Neurospora crassa OR74A: one gene and its partners. The protein of the gene in region 1 purifies or fractionates together with the protein of each later gene. This does not show direct contact. Links are inferred from orthologs where the notes say so. Each region holds a gene or a part of one and is shown on either strand. Other genes may lie near its edges. The genes, in order: hsp78, NCU00395 and acp-1.

The links.
Region 2: the proteins of hsp78 (region 1) and NCU00395 purify together in Saccharomyces cerevisiae (affinity purification with mass spectrometry, with the first as the bait; 3 studies listed by BioGRID). This does not show direct contact. The link is inferred for Neurospora crassa OR74A from reciprocal best matches to the Saccharomyces cerevisiae genes HSP78 and MSS51.
Region 3: the proteins of hsp78 (region 1) and acp-1 purify together in Saccharomyces cerevisiae (affinity purification with mass spectrometry; 3 studies listed by BioGRID, with this or other methods). This does not show direct contact. The link is inferred for Neurospora crassa OR74A from reciprocal best matches to the Saccharomyces cerevisiae genes HSP78 and ACP1.

The regions. Positions count from the first base shown.
Region 1 is NC_026501.1:2,990,264-2,993,863, reverse strand, and holds the start of hsp78 (heat shock protein 78), read left to right. Parts: upstream 1-845; 5' UTR 846-1,019; coding exon 1,020-3,452; 3' UTR 3,453-3,600. UniProt on the Saccharomyces cerevisiae protein: Required, in concert with mitochondrial Hsp70 (SSC1), for the dissociation, resolubilization and refolding of aggregates of damaged proteins in the mitochondrial matrix after heat stress.
Region 2 is NC_026503.1:3,705,796-3,709,619, forward strand, and holds NCU00395 (mRNA processing protein), read right to left. Parts: upstream 2,481-3,824; 5' UTR 2,348-2,480; coding exon 804-2,347; intron 733-803; coding exon 693-732; 3' UTR 493-692; downstream 1-492. Other genes in the region: NCU00396 (pre-mRNA-splicing factor rse-1), read left to right, coding at 2,985-3,228, 3,419-3,824. UniProt on the Saccharomyces cerevisiae protein: Has a dual role in the assembly of cytochrome oxidase subunit 1 (COX1). It has a regulative function on COX1 synthesis, acting as a translational activator specific for the COX1 mRNA, and it also binds to newly synthesized COX1 protein.
Region 3 is NC_026506.1:4,098,868-4,102,691, reverse strand, and holds acp-1 (acp-1), read right to left. Parts: upstream 2,668-3,824; 5' UTR 2,332-2,667; coding exon 2,122-2,331; intron 1,530-2,121; coding exon 1,512-1,529; intron 1,294-1,511; coding exon 1,213-1,293; intron 1,058-1,212; coding exon 962-1,057; 3' UTR 498-961; downstream 1-497. Other genes in the region: nuo21.3c (NADH-quinone oxidoreductase chain I), read right to left, coding at 3,255-3,331, 3,438-3,757. UniProt on the Saccharomyces cerevisiae protein: Carrier of the growing fatty acid chain in fatty acid biosynthesis. May be involved in the synthesis of very-long-chain fatty acids.

The DNA of each region.
Region 1 (3,600 bases):
GGTGCACACATTCTACATGCCCCTACGTCCAAAAGTTACTAGCATTAAGCCCTTGAACAGTTAAGAAATATTCAATAAACTATTGCTAAGCAAACACGATATAATCTATCAACTGTTGAAACCAGCAACCTTCTCGGACCACCTTGATACTCCCACCCGCCCATAACGCACCGGACAATCGGTAATGGTGACGAGGAAAGACTACACTAGGCTCCGTAGGGTTGCCAAATTCCAACTTCAGATGGGCTGCTCCATTGGACAAGCACTCGGCATGCGCAAAGATACAACAACTACGATTCATGAGTTAGCTCAAGAGCTGCGAAAAAGAAGCAATATTCCAAGTTGAATGAGATGCCAAAAGGGTCAGAGTCGCATAAATGCTGGTTTCGTCGTCATCTGCAGAGGTCTTAAGTCTGCTTGGTAACACGGACCAATTCGATCATCACGGGATGGGCGTGGGAGTACCGGTAACGGAGGAGTAGGGAAGGAGAATATCAAACAAGGTGCTAGAACTTACACTAATGACAGACACCGACGCGGCGTACTTCTGGCATTGCCAGCTTTTAGCAATTTGGAGCCATTCTCTCTGATGTCTCCCACAATGGCGCTGTTCAAACGCGGCGGTTGCACACGAAGAACCAAAACGGGGAGAATTTCACACAGCGAAAAATTTCCTGGCCATTAAATACAGACAGTGCACAGACCAGGCACAGGAACCCACCGAACTGACCGAAGACTCCATCGTGAAGACGGGACCTACATGGAAGCTCCGATAAGATAAGGAGCTAAGTACTGCCCTGTATGTAGGTAGGTACCTAAGCTCTCCCCCAGCTTCACGGCGTCAGTGCCACTGGAAGTTGCGAGAGCTTTCGACCTCCATCCATGTCAACGGTCAGTGGCACTACGTCAGGCCATATAAACCAGAGACATACCCTTCGTTTCAAAGTACTCTATAATGATTCAAGTTGGATTTTAGACTAGTCGTTCCCCTGAAATAAAACACGTACTCAAGTCTCAAAATGCAAACAAGGCGCCAATTGCTATCAACTGCCACTCGGCGCATCAGTGAGGCGTCGAGGGCCTCTCTCTCGCGAACCACCCGCCAGTTTCCCCGGGCACCGGCGCTGGGCGTAACCGTACCGGCACTCAATGCCACTCATCTAGCCAGCTCTCTTCGTCTTCTTCCCACAATAGCGACTCGATCGTATGCCAACGGCAGACCACGCCCCCCAGGCGGTACCCATCGCATGAACCTCGGGGGTGAGGACGAGAAACCAGCATTGGAACAATACGGTATCGACTTAACAGCAAAAGCACGAGAGGGAAAGCTCGATCCGGTCATCGGCAGAGCGGCGGAAATCCAGAGAACCATCCAAATCCTGTCACGGAGAACGAAGAACAACCCGGTGCTCATTGGATGCGCCGGTGTCGGCAAGACAGCCATTCTTGAAGGCCTTGCGCTGGAGATTGTGAAGGGCGCGGTGCCTGAAAGTATCAAGAACAGGAGAGTCATCAGTCTCGATCTCGGATCTCTTATTGCAGGAGCCAAGTTTAGGGGTGATTTTGAGGAGCGGCTGAAGAAGGTCCTGGGCGAAGTGCAAGAAGCCAACGGAGAGGTTATCCTGTTCATCGATGAGCTCCATACTCTCCTTGGCCTCGGAAAGGCCGAAGGCTCCATTGATGCGTCGAACCTCTTGAAGCCAGCTCTTTCTAGAGGTGAGCTTCAGTGCTGTGGTGCAACCACCATGACTGAATACCGTCAGATCGAGAAGGATGTTGCTCTCGCTCGCCGGTTCCAGCCCATCATCGTCAGCGAGCCGACAGTGGAGGATACCATTAGTATTCTGCGCGGTATCAAGGAGAAGTATGAAGTTCACCATGGCGTCCGTATCACTGACGGAGCACTGGTTGCTGCCGCTACCTATTCCAACCGTTACATCACCGACCGTTTCCTTCCCGATAAGGCCATCGACTTGATGGACGAAGCCGCCAGCTCGCTTCGCCTACAGCAAGAAAGCAAGCCCGACGATATCCAGCGCTTGGACCAGAAGATCATGACCATTCAGATTGAGCTGGAAAGTTTACGAAAGGAGAAGGACGTTGCCAGCGTCGAGCGCCGCGAGAAGCTCGAGGCTGACCTGAAGAAGTATCAAGATGAAGTCGCCGTACTGACGGAAAGGTGGCTGAAGGAAAAGGCCGAAATCGACAGCATCAAGCAAACCCAGGCAGAGCTCGACAGAGCCCGCATTGAGTTGGAGCAAGCACAGCGAACCGGAAACTTTGCCAGGGCCTCGGAATTGAGATTTGGCGTCATTCCAAACCTGGAAAAGAAGCTACCCAAGGACGGCGAAAGACCTACCCGTGATCTCTCTCTCATCCATGACTCGGTCACCGCTGACGACATTGCCAACGTCGTCTCCAGGATCACTGGCATTCCCATCTCCAAGTTGTCCAGCGGCCACACGGAGAGACTGATTCACATGGAAGACATCCTCCGCGAGTCTGTCCGCGGTCAAGACGAGGCCCTGAAGGCGGTTGCCGACGCAGTGCGAATGCAAAGAGCCGGCTTGAGCGGCGAGAACCGCCCACTGGCCTCCTTTTTCTTCCTCGGACCCACCGGCGTCGGCAAGACAGAGCTGTGCAAGAAGCTCGCAGGCTTCCTCTTCTCGACCGAGACCGCCGTTGTTCGCTTTGACATGAGCGAGTTCCAAGAAAAGCACACCATCTCGCGCCTGATCGGTGCTCCCTCCGGCTACGTCGGCTACGAAGACGCCGGCCAGCTGACCGAGGCCGTCCGCCGCAAGCCCTACGCCGTCATCCTTCTCGACGAGTTCGAAAAGGCGCACAGAGACATCTCGGCCCTGCTCCTTCAGGTCCTCGATGAGGGCTACCTGACCGACGCCCAGGGCCACAAGGTTGACTTCAAGAACACCATCATCGTGCTCACCTCCAACCTCGGTGCCGACATCCTGGTTGGAGCCAACCCCATGGTCCCCTACAAGGAGACGGAAGACGGTGACATCCACCCAGACGTCAAGCAGGCCGTCATGGACGTCGTCGCATCCCAGTACCCGCCCGAGTTCCTTAACCGCATCGACTCCTTTATCATCTTCAAGCGTCTCGCTATGGAGGCGCTCAGGGACATTGTTGACATCCGCCTGAAGGAGCTCCAGGAGCGACTCAACGATCGCCGCATCACCCTCGACGTTCCCGAAGAGGTCCGCCAGTGGCTGGCTGAGAGGGGATATGATCCCAAGTTTGGCGCGAGGCCGCTCAACAGGCTCATCACCACCGAGATTGGAAATGGGCTTGCGGATAAGATCATTCGTGGACAGATCAAGTCGGGCGATAAGGCGGTGGTGGAAATCAAGGAGGACAGGAGCGGACTGAATGTCTACGCGGAGCAGCAGGAGCAGCCTCCGGCTGCCGAGGAGGCTGAGGCTGAGGCTTAGACTGCTCTTGAGGCATGAAGTGGCCCGCTGCTGCTAATCTGATCCCAGGTTGATGGCGAGCAGTTGTATCTTTATTGTATCTCTCATTTGTTACTGGTTCTCCTCTTATGTTACATTGCATAGTTTATGGTTCGGGAAACAGGACGTT
Region 2 (3,824 bases), on another chromosome or scaffold:
CACCCCTTGAAGTCGTCGAGCTTCCCCTGAATGAATGTCAACAAAGCACACACCTTTGACTTACGCAGCTAAGGCGGCACCGCATCCTCGACCGCTTTTAAATTCCTTTAACTCTAGTCAAGTCGGTGCGAGTCATCTTCCAGCATGTGGGTAGTTTTCGTTTCTTACCAAGGATACACACTGCTGCTGGCAGGTTAGGAATCTCCACGCCTGAAGTTTGTTATCGTTGCACTTCGCTTGACAAACGTTGACCGAAATTTACTGCGCGGTGCAAGGTGTTGCGTGAGACGGACAAAAAGTGCTTGAAAAAAAAAAACCGTCTGTCGTCGATGAGGCTCAAGCTGTCATCACCCTTGCCACAGCAGACTGCCGTGACACAAGGCACTTGCTGCATGCGGCCCGAGCCTGACCGTTGCAGATCAGTGCCTCCCTAGGCCCACAACTACGAGATTATCAGACTGTGCAGTCCAAAAGATTTTGAACACACACCTTGGATCCGACATCCGTAACATCCAGCCCGTACCGTTAGAAACGGAAAAGATACCACAAAGTCTTGAAGTGTAAAAAGCCGATATGGTCGTGACAATGCGTTTGTTCGATATTCCTATTATACAGTCTGGGCTCCTAACAGCCCGGTTGCCAACACCTACTACATCTTACAGGATGCAACGACCAGCATACGCATGGCTCATCTATACAGCAATGACGTTGTCTTTGACGGTAGCCTCGTACCTAAAACAAACTCTGTTAGCTCTCGAACCGTATCTAGTTGTGCGGGGGAAAAAAATCAAGAGAGCACCAACCTCTTTCCGCGGAAGGCCCACACACCCCAGTTACCGGCACTGACGTCCTGAGGGTCAAGATCATTCAGATCCCACCGGAGACTGCGGAAGATGTTCTCGCCAGGCTCCATGAGAATGTCGAATTCACCCTTGGCCTTCTTGTTGACCCACTCGACATCACGCTCCATGTCAGCCTGCGTGTAGCCCGTAGCAATGATAGGAGCTTTGGTCTCGAGAAGCATAGGCAGCGTTTCCTCCCATTCGTGGGAGCTTGCCGGGTGGCCCAAACCAGGGTGGAAGAGGACGAAGCAGTCGAAGTAAGGATCGTGAGGAGCGAAATAACCCGTCTTGTGGATAGTATGGTAATAATCCACAATGGTGCTGATCTTCATGGTAGGCCATACGCGATCCTCCACAACCGCACCGTAAGGATTCTCGGGAGTACGAGGCGGGAGGGGAAATTCGTCATCGCGGTTCATCATGCTCTCGGGTCCGATGAAAATCAGATGGAGTCTCGACAGGGGGAAGAGATGGGCCAACTGCACCCAAGCATCTCTAGGCAGCGACGACTCAGCGCGAGCACCGAGAATAAAGACACGCACGGGGGGCGCCTCAGGCCGAAGACCCTTGATAGACTCGTTGCCTCCAGTTTTGGGAGGATGCAGGGTATAGCGAAGTGCCGTCAAACTCTTTAAGCCCTCGACCGTGAGGCGATTCCGGATGTGGTACGGGCTCAACTCGTGAAGAACGCTGCCGATCGTGAGAGGATAGGTCAACAACCTAGTCGCCTGTCTCATGCACCGGTCATCGTTGACAGCTTCGAACTGACGGGTATACATGAACGTGTCCCAGTTGGTCATGTTGACCATGGCATCATCCATTTGCGGACCGGCGTAGTTGAACTCGTAGAAGTGGCGGCCTGAATGGAGGTCATGGTCATCTTCATTGATCTGCCGCAGAGTGTCGCATATCTCGAGATGTTTCTCATAGTCGTCCATCCAATGCTGCTCGCTGCAATATACCGGGATGCCACAGTCAGGGCACTCGAAATCGACGTGCTTCGGCGGCTGGGAGCCAGACTCGGTATCGACTTGGCGGTTGGTCTCGGAGAACTGCCCTGGGCGGTGGCTATGGTGGGGGCAGCTGGCGTGCTGTCTTATGAAGGCCGCGCGCTGGCGGATCTTGGGGATGGGCGAGTTGGTGAAGGAGTGGAAGAGGTTGTCCTGCTCGAGAATCGGCTTCGAGGGGATACCACTACCGGCCAGATCCTCGTTGGTGGCAAACGATGTCGAGCTGCTGGCCTTGGTTCTGGACTGGGCAGCAACGGAAGGAAGCTTGCTTGTGATCGAAGCCTGGATCGGACGCGAAATGGTTCTGGTGATGCCGCCGACTTGCGTCGAAGACGAGGAAGAGCTCTGTGCCCCTCGGATGGAGCTGACGGAGCGTTGCTGGGCTGACTGCAAAAACGCAGCACTTTGCCTGCTCTGTCTAGCTGTGAAAGTCGAGCATTGCGAGCAAAGCTTGGACAAGGCCGGACGCACGGCGCGGTCTGCTGGGAGGGCCATTGGGAGTTCAAGAGGTCGGATGATGTTCGATCGGGAATCTGGATCGCCGGGACTCGATGCGACTTTCCAATTGACTTTTTGGCAGCAGCTCCCAGCAATCCGGGGTCCTCTCCCACCGACCCGACTCGCTACCTACCTCTACTGTGCCTAAGTGCCTAGGCGGGTCCCGTCCATCGAATGACCCACTTTGTTCTTGCTTCACCAGCCACAATTGTGCCTAGGTAAGCTCCGTCTGACGTTACGTATGCGGGTCAGAGAGCTACGAGCAAGCCACAGTCGCGAGGCGGGAAGATGAGTGGGCGGCGTCTACGACCTACCGTGGACCGAGTCCGACGTACCGCTGCAACCTGAGTGACTGGACTGCACCAATTGGCCAGAAATACCATCGACGGCAACCGACTCCATCTACCTCGCCAGAGTGCCAGAACACTGGACCGTGTTTCATTTTTTTTTGCCGTGTTACAATCATCTACTCGATATTCAACTCTAGATTTTCGACAATCTGGCTGACTTTCGCGCATTGGTCTTCTCAACATAACGACGGCAGCATTGACAGAGCACAACCGAGTCCTACCCACTTGCAAAAACAACCTCGAGAAAGCAGAGCCGCGCCGGCTGTCTGCGCCCAGTTGCAGCCATGGCGACTACGTCGAACATGTTCCTGTATTCCTTGACCATCCAGCCACCCACCGCTGTCACGCAGGCTCTGCTTGGTCAGTTCTCGGGAACCAAGGAACAGCAGATTCTTACGGCGTCTGGATCGCGTCTAACCCTCCTTCAGCCTGATCCCCGTCAGGGCAAGGTCAACACCCTGTTGTCTCATGACATCTTCGGCATCGTACGCGCCATCGCGTCGTTCCGTCTGGCCGGCAGCCACAAGGGTGAGTAACCTCCCCGCCACCTCCTGTGTTGGGCAATATAGTGATTCTGGATCCGTTCCCCAGGTGCTTCTGGGTAGAGGGGCCACACGTATGGTCACGCACCATGCACCCAGGCCTACGAGTCTTCTGGGGACTTGAGAGACTCATTCAAATCGGTAGCGGGATTGTGCTAAAACCCTGTGCCACCCAGACTACATTATCCTCGCCACTGATTCGGGCCGCATTACGATTATCGAGTATCTCCCCAAGACGAACAAGTTTCAGCGCATCCACCTCGAGACTTTCGGCAAATCGGGCGTCCGCCGAGTCATCCCCGGCCAGTACTTAGCCGCAGATCCAAAGGGAAGAGCATGCCTCATTTCGGCACTCGAAAAGAACAAGCTGGTCTATGTTCTCAACCGAAACTCACAGGCCGAGCTTACCATCTCGTCACCACTGGAAGCCCACAAGCCAGGCGTGTTGGTGCTGTCTCTTGTTGCCCTTGACGTTGGTTACGCAAACCCCGTTTTCGCTGCGTTGGAACTGGACTACACGGACGCGGACCAAGATCCTACGGGCCAAGCACGAGAAGAAGTCGAGACACAGCTGGTATATTA
Region 3 (3,824 bases), on another chromosome or scaffold:
GAAGAGGAAAATAAAGGAAAGAATATCGGTTGGTACGGAGCCCAGTTTTAGCTTGAGGTAGGTACCGAACAATTCTGGCTTTACGTGATCTTGAGGGCAAGTTTCTGAGGTGGTGGTGAATACATGCATACCTTAAGGTAGGTATCTTCATGCCGCGATCTAAATATTGAAGTGGGACATTTAAAGGACCAGACATACTCCGTCGTAGTATCAAGGATCTCTCGTCGGTCACATCTTCTTCACTTGGTCACGCAACAAAGTTGACATTTTCTCTTGAGAAATACCACGTATCTATTCAGTTTAAAGGTAGATACATCTAGATACCCAGTCAGATGGTTTCTCCTGGTTCGCCAACTTCGCTCGATTCAGGTACTGGTCTGTGTTTGTTGAACTGAGCAGTGATCAGACAGGAAGACATATAAACCCAGGCCTTCAAGTTGAGTGCGCTCCAGTCATGATTGTTCTCTTTACCTGAAAGGGGGGGGGGGGGGGTATGTAAGTAGTGTGTAGGTACGGATATAGGCGACAAACAAAACACAACGCAACAGCACAAGAGTTGACACCAACGCTATATTGAGCCTGCCACAATACCACTTTAGTGACCACCAAACATTGCAACGTGTCGCCGCGTTGACCAACCCAGACTAACCACTCTGACAATGATAACAACATCAAGACCAAGTCCGACCTGCCCACAATTCACATCTAGCCCGTACCCATCACGATGCTCCATTCCATTCGTCATCTCTTCTTTCATTCAGGTTCTAAGTTTTCGTATGGTACACAGATCGAATCGAATCCCAAACAATGACAAAGATATGTTTCGAATCGACCTAGTTAAGGATAAAGATAGAGGTGAAAAGGTAAGGTGGGTAGGTAGGGAGAAGAAGTATGCTTTATATTTGCGCAAGTAGTGGGGTTTCTAAAACGCTCGAACAAGGAACGAAACAGAGGACTTTTTTTAGTTGGCATCGGGCTGGCTGAGGATGTACTCGACGGCCTTGTCGACCGAGTGGATCTGGTCGGCGTCCTTGTCGGGGATCTCGATGGAGAACTCCTGTTGCGGGTAGGTTTGTTAGCATCGTGTTTGGCGTCCATGTGCTATGACTGTGTTTGGGTTGAAGGGTGATTGTGATAAGAGGCTGAGCTTGGGCCGAAAAGGGAATATGACAAGGGCCCGGAATAAAAAGAAAAAAAAAGGGAGCAACATACCTCCTCAATAGCCATAACAACCTCAACGGTGTCCAAGCTGTCAAGACCGAGGTCGTTGGCGAAGTGGGCGGTCTCGGTGATCTGTGATGCGCAAACTTGTGTCAGAATCTCTCATCCCTGTATCTTTGGTCTCGTTCCATTGCATCTATTCTTGCGGTTTGCCCGTCTCGTCTCTCCTTCCAGACTGTCAGGCCGGGAGCACCAGGGCACTGGGATTGACCCATCATGACCAAAAATCACATCATAGTTCGTCTCCGTGACGGTGAGGAGGAAATGTTGGTGTTTGCGTCTGTACTTACGTTCTTGGGGTCGTTGACCTGGAAAGTAGATGTTAGCTTGGGCCTGGAAAAAGGTTGCGAACACGGGACTGTTGTGGCTTCTGAAGAAGAGGCTGGAGGAGAGGGGAGATCCAGCCGAGGTAAGGAAGAAAGAAGAGCAAGAGACAAGAAGTTGACCAGCAAGATAGCAAGAGGAGGAGGGCAAAAAAGCGAGGGGAGAGCATCATCATCGGAGCAGAACCAGCCCAGCCGGCAGGGCAGACCCATTCGAAGAGCTCCCAAGTTCCCGATAAATCCGACCATGGCGCAGCGTGTGGAGCACGCAGTGCTCTTCATCGTATTCCATCTCGTTTTGTCGCGTCTGCGCAGCCTTGATATGCTCTTCGCATCTTTTTGGTCTTCCTCCGTTTGTGTTCTGTTGTCCGGCTGGTTTGCTTGCGATGATGATGCTCCCCCGCACGCTCTCTCCTCTTGTCTTCGCGTAGCGTATGTCCCTAGACCACTCGTATCCCTCTGCCTCTTCACACCTCTTTCTTATCTCCTTCCTTTCTTCTGCTCCTCCTCCTCATCCTCCTGCTCGAAGTTTGTATGCATGTCGTGTCGGGTAGGTCTCTTGTGATGTAAAACGCACCTTGTCAAATCCACTCAACACCTGCGCAATCCTGCTAAAGACCTCATCCTTCTTGAGATGACCACCGGCGCTGTAAAACCGGACAGCCTGGAAGGCAGCGACCTTGGGGACGGCCTGGACAAAAGCAGGACGGGCAACACCAGCGCGGACGGCGGAGGCGACGGCGGGACGGGCCACGCGGGCGGCAGTGAGGGCGGCGGTGCGGAACATTTTTTGTTTTGTTTGGGTGGGCTGTCGCGGAAAGTGTCAATTGCGCGGGTCGGTCGGGTGTTTGAGGGTCGGTGGTGGTGACAGGAAAGGCTGTGGCCGAAAATGAGTGTGACGCTACTACTCGGTGGTTCTCGGACGAGGTTGTTGCGGGTTTCTCTGGCTGGAAGCGGATTTCTGGGCGGTGGTTGGCTGGAATCAGCGATGATGATGATAAATTTCTCGCCTACTGCCTATGGTACGCCGGGGGCGCGGGAAGCGGGTGCGGGCAACTGCGGGCGGCGGCGGCCAACGAAGCTAACAAACCCGCCTCTGACTCTGGAGCTTCAGCGTGTGGAGGTACCTTGGTACGTACAACCTCGATGCTCCCCCGCAACTGCAGCCATGGAAGCTTCAGCTCGTTCTGCTACTCGTCAGCCGAGTCACGTGCAGGTCGCTCAGGTACCGTCTTGTACACTGCGGAGAAATGTGTCAAGCAGATACTCCACTAACACCCCACGGGCAGGATCACTCCACTCGTCTGTTAGACGGGTAATCCCGGTTGATGGATACGATGGGATGGAGTTCATCACGATACAGCTTGTATCTTACAGATGGTACCGTACACTAATTGTACATTCAGCCTTTCAAGCATCTTTAGGTTTCTTGATGCGTCCCTTTGGCCGCATATAGGATCTTCCCTGGCGAGATGACTTTCAAAAAGACAAGAAGTTGGATGAGGGACGCAATTCACAAATGTATCTACAGCCTTCTTTTGCCTGTCCGCCTGCCTGCCTGCCTGCCTTCTATAACACAATGGTGCGTCCTGTTGATACCGCAACCCGTCCGAAACTGCTGGTTCCGAAACTCTAGCATAGCAACAACGAAAAAAAGAATCTCTGTCTTCATTGTCCGTCCTGTTATCCGGTCTTCAAGCCACAACCCCTTTATCTGTAAGGTGAATCGGCGCGAATAGCAGCCGCAAGCTCAGGCTCCCACTTGTCTCCGTTAGAGAGTAGCTTTTCTGTATCTGTTGTCAGCACATGTCATATTTTCCTGGCCCCCCGACAGCAAGAACCTATCTCCAGCCAGCACCAGGTTATCACGGCATCCCCCAGAAAAGAACTCACCCTTGTTATACAACAACTCCTCCCTCGTCTCCGTTGCGTACTCCGCATTGGGACTCTCCACAATCGCATCCACGGGACAGCTCTCCTGGCAGAATCCGCAGTAAATGCACTTGGTCATGTCGATATCGTAGCGGGTCGTCCTTCTGCTTCCATCGGCACGCTCTTCAGCTTCGATGGTGATGGCCTGAGCAGGGCAGACGGCCTCGCAGAGCTTGCAGGCGATGCAGCGTTCTTCGCCCGACGGGTAACGACGAAGGGCGTGCTCGCCGCGGAAGCGGGGGGAGATGGGACCCTTTTCGAAGGGGTAATAGATTGTGTACCTGGAATAGAGGTGTCAGTAAATATGGTGGTATGGGTTTGCGCAGTCGTTAGGTAGCTGTTGATCGT